Arabidopsis thaliana: one gene and its partners. The protein of the gene in region 1 interacts with the protein of each later gene in a pairwise test. Each region holds a gene or a part of one and is shown on either strand. Other genes may lie near its edges.

Evidence for each region.
Region 2: the proteins of AXR3 (region 1) and AT1G68670 interact in binary tests that used the Arabidopsis thaliana proteins (3 or more experiments, as listed by UniProt).
Region 3: the proteins of AXR3 (region 1) and CSN5B interact in binary tests that used the Arabidopsis thaliana proteins (3 or more experiments, as listed by UniProt).

What each region holds. Positions count from the first base shown.
Region 1 is NC_003070.9:1,133,684-1,139,611, reverse strand, and holds AXR3 (AUX/IAA transcriptional regulator family protein), read right to left. Parts: upstream 3,535-5,928; 5' UTR 3,231-3,534; coding exon 2,992-3,230; intron 2,679-2,991; coding exon 2,467-2,678; intron 2,153-2,466; coding exon 2,014-2,152; intron 1,873-2,013; coding exon 1,811-1,872; intron 1,310-1,810; coding exon 1,272-1,309; 3' UTR 949-1,271; downstream 1-948. UniProt on the Arabidopsis thaliana protein: Aux/IAA proteins are short-lived transcriptional factors that function as repressors of early auxin response genes at low auxin concentrations.
Region 2 is NC_003070.9:25,780,118-25,785,115, reverse strand, and holds AT1G68670 (myb-like transcription factor family protein), read right to left. Parts: upstream 3,316-4,998; 5' UTR 2,773-3,315; coding exon 2,640-2,772; intron 2,552-2,639; coding exon 2,283-2,551; intron 2,204-2,282; coding exon 1,888-2,203; intron 1,693-1,887; coding exon 1,616-1,692; intron 1,513-1,615; coding exon 1,243-1,512; 3' UTR 998-1,242; downstream 1-997. UniProt on the Arabidopsis thaliana protein: Probable transcription factor involved in phosphate homeostasis.
Region 3 is NC_003070.9:26,850,502-26,855,416, reverse strand, and holds CSN5B (COP9-signalosome 5B), read right to left. Parts: upstream 3,012-4,915; 5' UTR 2,858-3,011; coding exon 2,468-2,857; intron 2,358-2,467; coding exon 2,076-2,357; intron 2,005-2,075; coding exon 1,857-2,004; intron 1,753-1,856; coding exon 1,667-1,752; intron 1,425-1,666; coding exon 1,347-1,424; intron 1,255-1,346; coding exon 1,162-1,254; 3' UTR 998-1,161; downstream 1-997. Other genes in the region: AT1G71235 (uncharacterized protein), read right to left, coding at 195-394, 612-858; EBS1 (EMS-MUTAGENIZED BRI1 SUPPRESSOR 1), read right to left, coding at 3,687-3,881, 3,956-4,108, 4,285-4,399, 4,472-4,515, 4,595-4,735, 4,822-4,915. UniProt on the Arabidopsis thaliana protein: Probable protease subunit of the COP9 signalosome complex (CSN), a complex involved in various cellular and developmental processes such as photomorphogenesis and auxin and jasmonate responses.

The sequences.
Region 1 (5,928 bases):
ACATATTTTCTATATATATGCATGCATGTACGTTGGAACGATACTTTCCTAAAACTTCGATTTGTTCGTTTTGGGATTCAACATCTTCTCCATGTGCTTCCCCATTTATCAATATTTACATTCTCAGTTTTCTTTATTTTATCTATATATTTTATTCTTAAACTTTTTTTTAACGTTAAACATCAAATTAAATAAGGACTGCTTAGAATAGCTCCATTATAACCAGTAAACACCATTAATCCAAAAGGGCCCTATATGTTATTATACTATATCTATTATGTCATCGATATATATATATATATATATCTATATTTTATTGCATATATATGTCTTTTACCTTCAAGTTTTACACATGTGCAATCTCTTGACAATAATAAATTACTTGTAGCTCATTTCTGAAAGTGATAAAGGATACAACGTAATTCCATATTTCTAGTGGTTTTTCATTTTTCATTATAGAGAGGATATTTGTGTATAATTATGATAACCTTGTTAATAAATTTAGTTGGTATAAAAGTTAATATTCCTAATTAATTTAATGGGAAATTAAATGATAAACAAAGGTAATGAAATGAAGAGACCCATGAATATGCACATGGCATTGCTCCCTCTCTTCCCTATGGGTCCTATTTCTCTATTTTATTTCCTCCAACCAAAGCCAATTATCACTTTAAGTACCAACAAATCAATATACCAACAAAGTGAATTTTCCCCATTTTTGTAATTATATTCATCTGATATAACATATGTATATTGTAATATTGTAATTCTAATTATACCGACTTCGAAATTATACTTGGGGAAAGTTTACTTTAGGGTCAAATACTCGATCGCTATGATCTTTAGTTTCACTTTCAAGACGAACCAAAAGAATACTGTTCTGCCTTTAGAAAATAACTGACTATTAAGAGACTGAAATTAAAGAGAAGTAATGTGAGATTAAATTTTCCATAGTGGAATAAAAATCACATATTCCTTATACGAATATACACATCTTTGGCAAAATAAATAAATAAAGACAAACATATACATAGGAATAGGATGTTCAAATTATTACACATTTTCCATTACAAATGTCTCAAATATTTAACTTAAGTTCATTACACATAATAGCATACAAACTATATCTACATACCAAATCCAGATCAAAACACAGACAATCAAAAGAAACTGAACAATGTATTTCATCGTAAGAAAAAAAAGAGCAATTAACACCAATCAATGTGTTAATCAAATATATAATCGATACCACTTATCCTTTTAATTTGACTTCAAGCTCTGCTCTTGCACTTCTCCATCGCCCTCGGAGCTGAAATATTTTTACAATTAATAAGCAAAGACATTTGACCACGGTATTTATTCTGTTAAAAGAGTATATTTTTTATTCCCTCTGTTATTTAATCTCTTTCTTTTTTTGCATTTGACAAAAGAGAATCAAATATCATGTATTATATCAATGATTTAAAAGATCAAAGCGATAAGTTTTCTTTCGACAAATTTGTTCTTTACGGTAGAAATATAATTGTGCGAAAAATAATGAACGGTTTAAGCGTTTGATGATTAGACATCATCTTAAACGATAGCATATTAAATTATTTAGGCGACCAAGTTATGCGGTTGAGGTGTACATTATAGTAAACTTTTAAGCTCTTTTGTAAGTTTTTTTTTTCTTTTTGGGGCAAATCTCTTTTGTAAGCTATTTTAACTATATTGTATACATATACACGTAAATTTTAATTTAAATGGGTAACAAACTGAAATCAAAATTTAATCAATGTGAATATAATATGCATTGGTAGAAAATACATACCGAGACCAATGGCATCCGATCCTTTCATGAGACGTAAACGCTTGCATGTATCGACGAACATTCTAATAAATAAAAAGATTAAAACAAATGGTTATTTATTAGAAACAAATAAATGACATAAACAAAAATAAAGCTCGAATTTTAACCGAAACAATAAAGCTCTAATTAAATGGTAATTAATAAGGGAGAAGAAGAAGACGTACGGCCAAGGAACGTCGCCGACGAGCATCCAATCACCGTCTTTGTCTTCATAAGAGGGAACATAGTCCCAGCTATTCACCAAATCCATCAATTTCCTCTCATTCATGAAGTCTATCATTCCTTCTTCTCCTCCATGTTTGCCTAAAATAATCTTAGGTATAAGAACTTGATATCCTGAATTTAAACTTGGTGGTTTTCTTTTATGGTGCAACAAATGAAATATACATTTTTCGCAATTGGATTTTATCACATAGTTTTCTTTTCACAGTTTCTAAACTACTACTAACGGGTTACTCAATTATGAAATATTTGTATACTCGATAACGGTAATTCATTTGGGACTGATCTATCATCATGATGATTAATTTTTCTTTCTATAGTAACAATTAATTAGTAACTAAATGTGCATGGAAGGATCTACATATATATATAAGGAATATACTTATAAAACGTACCCATGGTAAAAGAGCTGAACATGTTGGACAAAGCATTAGAAAGCTCATCGTAGCTTTTATACATCCTCAAATCGATTTTCCTCAAGTACGGTGCTCCGTCCATTGATACCTTCACGAACGCCGCCGCCTCCGGGCCACCGCTTGATTTTTGGCAGGAAACCATCACGTTCTTCCGGTATGATCTCACCGGTGGCCATCCCACAACTTGTGCCCTATATTTTTTTTAAAACGGAAAAACGGTTATGTTATACAAGATATAGACTGTAGTTAGCTTTGACGTGATGTCACATAAATTTTACTTGCATGAGACTATGGGTTAAACATAATTAAATATATTAAGACATTGGACGATTTAAGAAGAGAAAAAAACCGTAGACATATGATAAAATGGTTTTGGCGAAGAAAAATATATATCTTTAATGAAATTTCTGTTTTTTTTTGCAGTCACCTTTACAAAAATGTTAATATTAAGAGCAGTAGAGAAGAGTGGAAAATAAATCATAAAGGACAAAATAGTAAAATTACTTGGCCGGAGGTTTGGCTGGATCTTTAGGACAAGCACTCTTCTCCTTGGAATCAAAAGTCACGACGTCATGAGTCGTAGATCCTTCCTTGTTTGCAGGCTCATTATTCAGATTTAGCTTCAGATCAACCGTCTCTGAGAACCCTCTCTTGTTTCCGGTTACCGGAGCCACTGTATCTCCACCGGGAAGACCAAGACACAGCTCAGTCTCCCTCAGATTCAGCTCGACACTGCCCATCATTATTAACCTTTCTTCTTCTTTGGTGTTCTTCTTCTTGGGAAGGTGATGAGGAAGATGGAAAAATGGTTTTATAAAAACACTCAAATAATACAAAGTGAGATGAGTCTGTATTATATCTCTGTCTAGGAGGTAGCTGCATGTGTATGTCGTATTTAAGAGATCTTTGATTAAACGGGTTTTAGACACGTGGATGAATCTAAGCCCTTTGATTAAGTCATCATCCTCGAGTTTTAGTCTTTTAGACTAATCAGTAATCACTGTTATTACTCTATTACTGTTATTGAATCTTTCTTATGATTTATCTTGTAGATTATGTATATATTATTGCATTTGACTATACAAAATGGATATATATTTTAATCCGTCTTTAATCGTTTTTCTCCCGTTAAAAGAGATATATAACATTTTGAGATTACAAGCGAAAGCACAAGTGAAGGAAAGATTTTAAAATTACAAGTGAATTATGAAACACATTCGAAGCAACCAAGTGAATTAAGTGGTGATGAACCGATTAATTGATATGGGGTATCTAACTAAATATATGTATATACCATATGGTCTTAAAAACTATATCAACGTATAGTTTATAAATATATATTCTTTTGAGTGGCGAGGTCGCAGACATCTCATATGAGAGTGTTACAATAGAGATGTACATTATTATTAATATAACTATATTATGCTTTTTGACTTCTAAATATAATTATTAACTAATGAATATATATTCATGATTTTGATTATTTTTCCCCGTAAGATTCTTCGCCGGAACCTTCCAATTATGCATATCACATCCACATGATTCAATTATTCATCCCACAATAAAAGCGCAGCCCTCTTGTATATAATTATTCTCATGCCAATACAAAATAAAGCATACGGTACATCTTCAATATTTATTGATTAAAAACTCACCTATAAACACGTACAGCGAAATGTGTATCTAGACACATAAAAACGCATCATTACTCTTTAATGTTTATACTTTGTAGTTAACAAACTATAAATTGCAATATTATAAACACCACTTTGTAGTTAACAATAAAATTGGTGATTAATTTTCTTTACAGATATTTACAGATTAAATTGACTACTAAAATATAATGTCTGTTTTTGATTATTGAAAATTATTTTTCTTCTTTTATATTGCTTGTGTTATTCTTGTAGTATGAAAGTTTTCAACAATAGGGTAGTTTTTTTTTTTTTTTGTAGTTATGAAAGCACCTAAATTTGTATTACATTTTCTATTAATTTGTCTATATTATCGCATTTCTAAACAAAAAAACAAATTCTGTCGCACTTCCAAAACATATTTTGTTTTTATTTCATCAATCACGCTTCCAAAAACAAAAATGATATGTTTTGGAATTGTATTTTCACGGCGCTTTTGCGAATTTTCAAACTTTCGTTCAAAATTCGACTTTAGTGATCTACTAGACACTGGTTTTAGTTCAAAGTAATCAGTTAGGCGTAAACTGTGAATACGGGACGTTTAAATAACACCAAGCGTACTAACCATAATTAACCAACGTAAATTCAATAAATATGAAAATAAAGAGGGAAAAAGGCATATTCCTACCCTAATAAAATCTATGAGAGGGGACATGAGTGGCATCAAAATCCAAAGGAAGAGAGGGTACAATTAACATCACCATAAATTCCAAAGCCAAAATTTAAATTAATGAGAAGAAGAAAAACATGGAGATGATAAAGGGACAAGTTACATCAAATAAAATTCAGGGGCGAAAACATCTTAAACCCTACTTTTGTTCCTTGCCTTGTCTACATCCTCCTCTTTAACCCTTTTCTCTCCTTTTGTTTCTATCCCAAAAAACTCTCATGAGTTTTCAAATCAACGTACCCCAAATTTTTCAATCGAATTTTGGGTCACTTTGTCTTATATATCACATCATTTTGTCGTGTTTTATCAATGTGTATCTACTTTGTCTGATCAATATATATATCTACTGATCACTATGGAATTCACATGAAATTGTAAACCAGTGAATAATATAAATTCTCGGTCCAGCCTACATGATTACAAAAAAATGCGCCCGCACACATAAATGGATTGTATGCGAAACTTTAATGAGATTGAACCAATGCAACCAAATCCATATATCATCAGTATTCTCAAGGATACATATGGAGACCACATTTTCTTTGTCACACGATAGAGACCATCTTAATTTGATGTGTAATTTTGGTAATGCTTTTTCACTTGATTATATATATTTTTCATTTTTTGGGAAAATTATATATAGGTCTAATCATGTATTTTATATGCATGGTGTCGAAATTAATGAGTTATTTTCAAAGGTATATATGTGTGTTAATTATGAACTTGCAAGATAAGAACGTGTGAGGACCAGGTGTACTTTCATGTGGACAATACAAGGCCACAACTCTCAACATTCTACCACACAGAAAAATAAATCAATAGTACTGGTTCATTTGTGTCCATCTTCAATTTTTTTTTTATAGTTTTCTCATTTACATTAGTTGTTGGAATATACTTCTCGCATTTAAGGAATGCAGCCAAATGACATGCATTGCTGCATGCATGCAATTGAAACGATCCACAACCAAATAATAAGTTTACATTGACTAAAATGTAAAATGTGATTGTATGTGAAAGCAACAACTCTTTTGAGACTCAAACAAATTACTTTACGTCAACACTTGCTCTACAGTCTTATAT
Region 2 (4,998 bases), about 25 Mb from region 1:
TAAGAAACATGGTGGAATGGCAGAATTGAGAACCCAAAAAAAAAAGCAGAATGGAATGATAAATGATTATAATGGAAATATGAATATTTTTTACTAGTTGTACAAAACTATTGTATATTTAAAAAGTGAACAAGTTATTGAAATTCCTTATAAAATTCAAATAGTTGTAGAATCCGTATCAGTTGGAGGGAAGTCACGATTTATTGATCTCCAGCCCCTAGTCACGATTTATCCAGTTTTATTCAAAACAAAGAAACAAAATTACGTAAGAATTCGTCTTGCTTGTATAGACCCAAGATTATCCTCCCTACAAATCAAGTTAAAAAAAAAAAAAAAAAAAACCCGAAAGACCCTAGACACAATGCAAATGTCACAATTTTTATCGACCTGAAATTCTATAACATATAAAATCAAAACATAATACAAATTTAATCGTCCACTTTCCTATAATCTAGGAAGACTTATTCAACAAGGACTTAGTCAACAAGGACTTATTATAAAAATCAGAACATGACCTTTTTATTCTCCATGAACCCGATTATTAAACTGGTTTTGAATTTTCTAAAGAAATTCCGGTTCGAGTCAATTACCGTAAGATATGTGAAGGAAAAAAAAAAAGATACTATAATCTAAATTGGCCGACAAAAAATAAAAAATCTAAATTAATGATTTGATTATGGTTAGTGGTTACTATTCTATTAAGCAAGATTCAGAGGCGGCCACGTTAGATTTATTTTAATAAATTGCCATGCAAAAAGATAGATTTGGTATTCAATTCTGTGAATGGTTAGTTGGTCGATTCATGGACCTTTGTTTTAAGCAAGCGTTACCATAAATAAATCACTTCTAATTGTCACACCAAATATCTACATCACCATTCACGCACGTTATTCTCAATTCATCTTAGATTCTCTTATCTACCTTTGTATTTTACTATTTACGAAGGTGATGAATTATAACCTTTGCCATCAGATTCATCACGAAGATCTGTCTAAATTAGACACCAAAAACAAGAAGATATTTTAGTAAATATCCAAAGTTAGAAAAACAAAGAGTCTTCACTTATCTCGTGTATATACTACATAGTAGCATTCGTCTACTTTATTCAAAATTTCCAACCGAGGAAATAACATTTCTTGGTTACAAACAAAAACGGACGAAAATATTTCTTACATTCACATAAACATTTTCAAACCTACACCAAAATCAACATCAGGAGATGATTATAGTATGACTATCAGATTATGACACAGGAGTAGAAGTATTTGTATTTGTAGAGGAAGATGCCGCCGGCGAGTTGCAACTTCTCTCCAACGAACGTTTTGGAGATTGCGCCACCGCAACCGGAGCATATACACCACCCTTGTTGGCTACATCGGACGGTGGTGGAAAATCTTGTGACGATGGTACCCATATGCCTCCAACCACCACAAATTGTGGTTGTTGCTGATTCCCGGTACTTTGTGCCGCCACGGATGTTGCTGCTGGCCTTCTTGTGTGAAGTCTATATTTCTGAAATATTACACAAAAAATGGTTAAGAACTTGAGTAACATTTCATTTAATTACCAATTTCACGAACTTGTGATTATAACATAAGAATCATTAATCACTAACCTGTAAATGGCTTTTAACTTCGTCGTTTGTTAATCCATCAACCTTCATGTGATCCCTGATTTGCTTTGGTGTAGCAACTGCAAGATTGGCAAATAAAATGTCAAATAAAAATCATTTTTTAATGTTGATAATAATCTTTGTTACTTACTAATATAATGTAAATGTTGAGACGTTTTAATGTTTAAAAACAGTTCTTTATCAACCCGATTATGAATCACTAATGAACCAATCAGATAGAAGATAATCAGGTAATTAAAATTAATCGTAATTACCATGAGATCCTCCAAGCTGCTGAAGCGCGTTTAGGAATCGACGGTGTAATTCCGGCGACCAGCACCGCCTTTGTTTTCTATGCGTATGCGACTGCGATTGCTGCTGCTCTATCCGTCTTTCCTCATCTCCAGCTTTAATCAAATCACTTTTACCACCACAAGTTTCCGTCGTAGAACTCGTCGTCGTCGCTGGCATCGAACTAGCTACTTTCACCGCCGGTTGCAAATCAGTCTCCAAAACGCGCTTTTGAAACGGCTGAAACGCACCGCTTTTTGGTTTCACCTCCACCACTTTCGCTTTCTTAGCTACACGCTCCTATAATTCAATTAACACATGATTATTTCCTCATAATCGAAAACTAAAACTCCTTTAAAAAGCTCAAAACTTTAAATACCTCTTTTGGATTTAGATCCGGTGAATGATTCCATAGCTGAACAGATCTAAGCCAATCTGATTTCTTATTATTCACAAGTTCTGGAGAAGATTCATGTTCACCATCTTCTTCTTCTTCTTCTTGTACTTCTTCACACAAGGAACTAATTTTCTTGATAGGAATAAACTCTTCAAAGACAGGACCACCACAAACACTTGTGGTCTGTTCTGAACACTGTTCTGATGTAGTTGTCGTCGTACCAGATAACTCCTTCCGACAAGCTTCGATCGCTATACAGAAACAAAACATAACAAAACCCCATCAAGATTTGTAAGAGACTTGTTTAAAAATTGGAGATTTTGATTGGATTATTATTACCTTGAGTGACAAGCTCTAAACATAAAGGAAGCTCGCGTTGAAAGACTTGGATTTTCTTCTGTTCTTCTTCAAGTGCTTCAACGTATTCATGACATTTCTGCATTTTCTTAGCGTAATCCATCTCCACCATCATTATTATTCAAAAGGGACTAAGAACCAAGATCTATAGAGAGACGACAGCGAGAAAGAAGCTTAATCTCAATGGAGAAAGAATATTGGATCTTTAAAATAGAATCAAAACATAGAGAAATTGATTCCAATGTTTTGTTGATTTTTCAAGAGATAGAGAGAGAGAGAGAGAGAGAGAGGGTTTAGGTTTTTGGAACAAGAAAGAAGTGGAAGAGAATCGAGGTCGGGCCGTCGCGTACCTAAAACGAATCTTTGAGAGTTAAAATGTTTTTTTCTCTTTTGGAAGAGAAGGGTAAAATAGTAATATCGTGAAGATGATGGGTGAATATTCGGAGGATCAGATTCGATTATAGGTTCGCATCTCTTTGTATGGGCTGGAACTGACGTCACTATTCCAATCTCTTTAGCTTTTTTTTTTCAGATAAGAACGAAAACTCAACCATTTTTCTTCTCCCCTAATTAAGATTCCAGAGTTTTGTTTTCCAACGATTGTTTTATCCTTCATTTAACTTAACTATCATCTAATAGAAATGATTTTCTGTGTTTCTATATGGGCAAATCTATTCATTAAATGGAGATTTTATGATTTAGAATTTCAAATTTAAAGATTTGGTTTTTATTATGCGTCTTTTCCAAAAATCATAAAAATTGACGTTCACCTAACAAATATGCGTTTCATTAAATAAATTAAAATACTACTACTATCTCATAAGGAAAAATTATGTTTAAAACTTTCAATGACAATAAATCATATCATTAGTGATATCTTAATTCCAACTCCAAACGTTAATCATTCACAATTTATGTAACCTACCACTCGACTACGTTTTTACAGATATTTAGAACGAATATTAAAATTTGAATTGGAAATGAGCTAATTTGGTGAAGGAATATTCTAGGGGAGGAAAAAAAAAAAAAAAAATAGAAAGAAGAATCTTTTGGAAGGAAGTGTGAGAATCACATTTGCCCACGCCGCGTATTAATTATTTACATATCCGACCTTTCATATTCCTCAAGAGCCAATTTGCTAAATGTTCACGCGCATAGAGCGCGTACCCACGTGACCAAATATTCAATTGATGCAACCAGATTCTCTGCTTTTGTCATATTCATTTATCTTATTGGTTTCGTCGTTATCTTTTTAAGAAAAACAAACGGTTCTTTGGTGGTTCGATTCCTTGATAGGATGAGTTAATGCATATGAATATGATAATAGTATTTTTGTGTTTTTTAGATACAGCAAGATTTTGGACTAATTTCATTCACAATAATCACCATTAGGATCATCAAAATTTTATTTTATGGGTCTACTTATGTATGATTGATGAAACTATTTGAAGGTCGATTGAAATGATCAACTGTTTTCTTGTAGATGGAAAGTTACAACATGCTTATTGCTTTAATCATCATCATAATAGGCAAATATCAGATTCATTCCACATGTTCTTAATCAAATCTGTTTTAAGAAAAAACATCTAAATCTACACATAGAACTTTGTTGTCTCAATCTGATGGAGCTAATACATGTTTGGTCTTTATGTGGGAGGTGTGGGACATATAGATTTAAACGAGATTGGCTCCATCAATTCTTACCTTTATTATTAGCACATGATAAAATTTGTTTCCATGGGAAAAGAAAACAAACAATGTCTAAGTTGTAGTATTATGAATGTTTGAAGATGCAAGTAAGATCTCCAAGACTCCAACACATGTATTGGAGTTCTCTTCATAATAGCTATTGCATAGCCACAATTAAACAACAAAGTTAAGAGTGTCAATTAGAGCTAAAAAGAGACGGTTAATCAGTTAATGCAATAATTGTCAATTGGCAATGCACAAAAATAAAACATATGACTCTGAGTCCAAGGGAAACTACCAAGAACATGGAAGTTAAGAGTTTTTTCAATGGGAGTTTCTAAACAAAATTCTTGATATATAATAAAAATATTATATTGTTTAAATATTAGTTTGGTTTCTTAAATTTGAAGAAACTTAGTCCAATTGTTTCTTAACTAAGAGTCAATTGAACTAAGTTTCTTCAAATGTAAGAACCTCATCATTAAAATATATTATTTATCTATATTTACACTTGATTCTATTTTAAAAACTCACTAGATTTTAACCCGCGGTACACCGCAGAAATAATTTATTTTTTAAAGTTAGTATACATAAAAGTTTGCAAATTGTATCTATCTATAAAATATTTTTATTTTATAGTTTACAATTGTTA
Region 3 (4,915 bases), about 26 Mb from region 1:
GTTGGTCTTACTAAATTATTGCTTTCTAGTTTCATCTTTTGTGTCTTTATTCTCAAATAAATATCAAACCATGTCGACGATTCCTTAACACAATTTTTTCTGTATTATTCCAATTTAATTCATTCCCATTTGCCTACAAATTTGTGTCACACAACAGAAAATAAAAGGTAAACATCAAATTAAGGTCCATAATCTTATTTAGAGGAATACTCGGAAACATGTCCATATGAAGATCTTTTGTCAGTTCTCTTGCTCTCAGAACAAGGTGGAGTTTTCCTCTTATTCGAATGCGAATCATCATCAACATCATCATCAAAAAGGCTGAGATCCTCCACCCCAAGAAGCAAGGGTTTGCGATATTCCATAGTGAAAAAGGCTACAGAGTCACTTTTCACTGTAAACCTATATAGCTCCCATGTTGAACCATTGTTCATAGCAAAACGTGGTATAAATTTATCACGTACATAGTTCCTTCGATGCCGTTCTTTAACCAGTTTCCAAACCCCTTGGTCGGGCACGAACAGCGCGAGAAACAGCCATATGCTATGTTTCTCGCTACATGTCAAATTTGTAGGAAACATATCCGTGCGGAGCTATAGACAATAACTGACTGTTTTCTTGAAGGTTTGGTATCCCCGGACTTCCACGAAGCTCCGGATAACTAAGGCTTTCTAAGATTCTCCGCAATACTACGTCTTCAAGTGTATAAGTTTGCCATGTTGTGTGAAGTGCGTTCTTGATAAGCTTGTTGAAGATGGTCAGGTTGGCAGTACATAGCTCCTTGTGGGCGTCGTCGTCGACAGTCCCATAAGGAACACTTTTCATCAACAAACAAAGACAGAGAAAGATGATTGCCATTGTTAGCCATGTTTTAGTACCACCTATTCACGGACAACGTGAGTGCAGAGAAGGAAAGAGAGAGGGGATAGAGTTGGAAAAGATCACTAGGTTTCTGATTTCCATAAATACAATTTTTGTTTAAGGGCTTAAGATTATTCCTTTAACCCCGACGAATCGAATGGGCTTAAAAACATTTCTTTAACCAAAATCTTCTTCTGTATTATTCTCATTAGCATTATAATTCTTTACACAACAGAAAATAAATGAAAGGACAACAAATGATGGGTCAATCCAAAACTAGAAACCAAAAGAAGAGCAACTTCAATATGTAATCATAGGGTCTGGATCCGACGAGTCAGTGGGAGATTTGTTGTTGGACTGACGCATTGAGTTGAATAATTCATCTTTTATGACCTACAAGTACAACAATGATGGATTTTGAGTCTGTGAAATACACGAACCTTAAGGGAGATATGTCACCATTTCGTTTCAATATTATTACTCACCTGCGACATTAGTCCATGGACCTGTTCCACAGTTATCTTTGCGCTATCCCGAGTTATCTTAGTTAGTTGAGACTCATCCTGAAAGTGATTTAGAACACACGTCAAATGAGATCTTTAACAAGCAACACCCATTAACATTCTCGAAAGTTATATATCTGTACAACCTTCAACAACACTTTCATTTCAACTAAACAGAACACCTCCAGGTCCCAATAACCAAAACATTTGAAGATATATCCTCTTAGTAGCTAGATGTTTACAGAGGCACTTAACTAGCCACCGTAATCGCAATTAAAATTTGATGAACCACTAGGACATACCTCTTTTTTCTTATGAAGGGATGATGGCACAACTCCTCCAAAGCGAGACTGAACCAGATGACTCTCGGCTTGCTCAAGCTTCTCAGCTTCATTGGTAAAATTACGAAAACGATTATATAACACATTACTTGACTGTGACTTGAGAAAAAAAAGTAAGAGTGAATGATTTAGGCCATATCCAAGAGTTTACCTAAGTCTGATATTTGTCCAGCAACATAGTCTCCATTACCCAGCAGTGGAGAAGAAGAAAGAGTGTTCACCCAGTACTTGTTCCATAGTAGATCCAGAAGGTGAGAATCAAGAGATGACTTGAAATAAGTGACATCTAATGAATAGTACTGCCAAAACCAAAAGCCAAACATAAGAATCATGTTGGGACCTTGCACCGAGAAAAATCAAGAAAATGTACCTGTTTGCAGTGAACACCAAAGTCCTCAATCTTATTTAAAGGAATAGTTTGATACTCAGAAACAGGTTCATCTGGAGGCTTATATCCTTTAGAGTATGTTCTGAAAGCACCAATCTCAACCTTACCAGCTGAAACAGTCCTTGTGGGATCAATAACAACAGCTAAAAATGGCTCCTGATGCTGTTGGTTAAGCCTCTGCGTAGAAACATCAATACCGGAGAGCCAGCATCCATATCCAGGGTGAGAGTGATACCATCCAACAACATTCTCCAGCCGCCCCGCCTTATAAAGGTCAAGTTATTATAACCATAATCAATCAAACTGTTCTGACTTATATACAAACTTTCTAAAGAAAAAAATCAAAACTTTGAAGTTTCTTGAATCTCACTTACGAGCTTGTTGGTCTGTGAATACTCAACCATGTACTCATAAGCATCATCCTGAGCATTAACCCTTGTCTCAGTACCTTCCACTGGTAAAGCAAAAGCATCCATAACAATGATAGTATCACCATCGGTCTTACCTTGCATAAGACCCATTATTTCAATTGTACCACCAGAGCGAGCGTGAACCACCATCTTAAGAAGAGCGAGCGCTGAGATCTTGACTCGTTTAAAGTAGTGAGGATCATTCTCCCACGGTTTCTCTTGCTGGAACCTAGTCTGTGAAGTATCGTCGTAGTAGAAGATGTTGTCGGAGGTTGAATCAGGTGAGTCTACTGTTAGAATGCTGTTCTCTAGTTCCCATGTCTTCCTTGCTATCGTCGACGACGAACCCTCCATTCTTTTTCGAATTAGGAATTCAGTTGCAGAAATCTAGGGTTTCATACGGAATCGATGGAGTGTGATCGATCTGTCTGCTGAAGAATTGAAAACTGTGTCAAAAATGTTACTTCGGGGATTGACTTATATATAAGAAGAGAAAAGTGGTGAAAATTAATTCCTCTGGATTCTTCTCTAATTTAGAAATAAAATTTAAAATCCTTTTAGTTTGTTTTTTTTTTTTTTTTTTTGACGGTATTAAAATCTTTTAATTGAATAACACAAAATTTTAAAATCTATTAAACATGATTTACAAAGATATAAACTCCAATAACACTAAATTTTAAAATTGAATTTAAAATCATTAATTAAATAACAGTGTATTAGTGTTGGATTTCTTTCTATTAAAATCCATTAATAAATAACGTCCCCTTGTAAAACCGTAGATTTCTTCCCTCTTCTAAAATAATTTATTGAATTACTTCAGCTTTTCTATCAGAGTGTCAGACCCTTTGCTAAAAGAACACGTATTGCTTTTTATACAGACACTGACACGTCAGTTTTCCGGTTCGGTTTTTTTACTGGTTTGTCGGTTTGGTTTGATTTGAGATTTTGGACGGACGAGTTTACAAATACGTTATGAGTGACTATGTTTGTAATTGATTCAAAATCATATTATACTGATATTCTTATTCTCCTGCAATCTGTTGACTTTATCTTCTGTCTAATTTATGTGAGAGATGTCTAAGAAACTGTAGCTACAAAACTAGAAACCTTATCTAGCAAATGCAAAATAGCCATGATTGTCTAATTTATCTTCTCCTCTTTTGAAACTTCAGGAGCATTGAATTTACAGTTCTGCTTTAGATTCCAAGTCTTGTTCTGTATCTTCAGAGATGTCATTTGATGGAAGAGGATTAGGCTTGTCTGTAGCAGGAGCAGCTACTGGCTCGTTGAGTTCCACATCTTCACCCAAGATTTTTGCTGTGAATTTTCGTGCTTCGAGATCAAGATCGGGCCATTCGGTTACGATTCTTCGGGCACCCTGCAGAAGAACACCGCATTATAACAAACAACGCTTTGTGAGTGTTGTAGATATGAGGAAAGCCATCATTTTACCTGAAGCTTTGGTTCCTTTGTCATGGGATTATTGCAAAGATCGATTGTTCTGGCCTTGGCTTTTGTGGCGTTTCCACACCAGGATTCACACCACAACCACTCTTGGGGAAGTGAAAATATAGGAACAGTATGCTGAGCATAATTAGGAAGATCCTGAAACAAAATAATGACATGCCATCAATATGTTTGAACCTGGAACTCTAAAGATTCAGAGCATGGTGTATGGTAAGAGTCAAATGCAAAAGCCTTTCAAATAAAGTAAAACGATAGTGTGACCACCAAAGAAAGGTTACAGCCCTAAGTATAGAGAACCATATTATACAACTTGCCTGATCTAGGTTGGACAAACTGTTTGGATCCTTGCTAAGCGTCTCATAGAATACTCTTAGATTATCTCCTGCCGCTGTCTCTCGGAACTTAACCAAGTCAACAACGTATAGAGCACTACAGATAGAACAAGGCACATTAAGAATGGGAAAAGCAACAACTTACTGAGGTTCAAGTAGGTTTTTTTACCTGATATGGTATGGCCTACCACGTAAATGTTCTTTCCAGAAACCCTGTTCAAAGCAATTGAGAATGTAAGAGTATGGAAACCAAAACTACCTCTACAAGCAAAACAAAAAGATTAATGTTTACCTGTTTCCAAAATTTATAGCCATCCATTTCCCTGTTGTTGTCACAAAAAGGAGTATACGCGAGAGGTCTTCCTTTAATATCCATATCATACAGTTCTCCCATGTCTGTCCTTATAATTTGATCTGCGTCGACAAATATAACCTACAGAACACATGTCGAATACCTTATAGTGACATCTTCCAAGCATCAAAATCGCAAGAAAGAAATGAAAATATGATCATCTGTACCTTTTCCAATGAGAGAGGAAATATGACATCAAGGAAAAGAATTTTGTAGGCCCAAATAATTCGTTGCTTTTCTTTCTGTTTATGCAACCAGGAC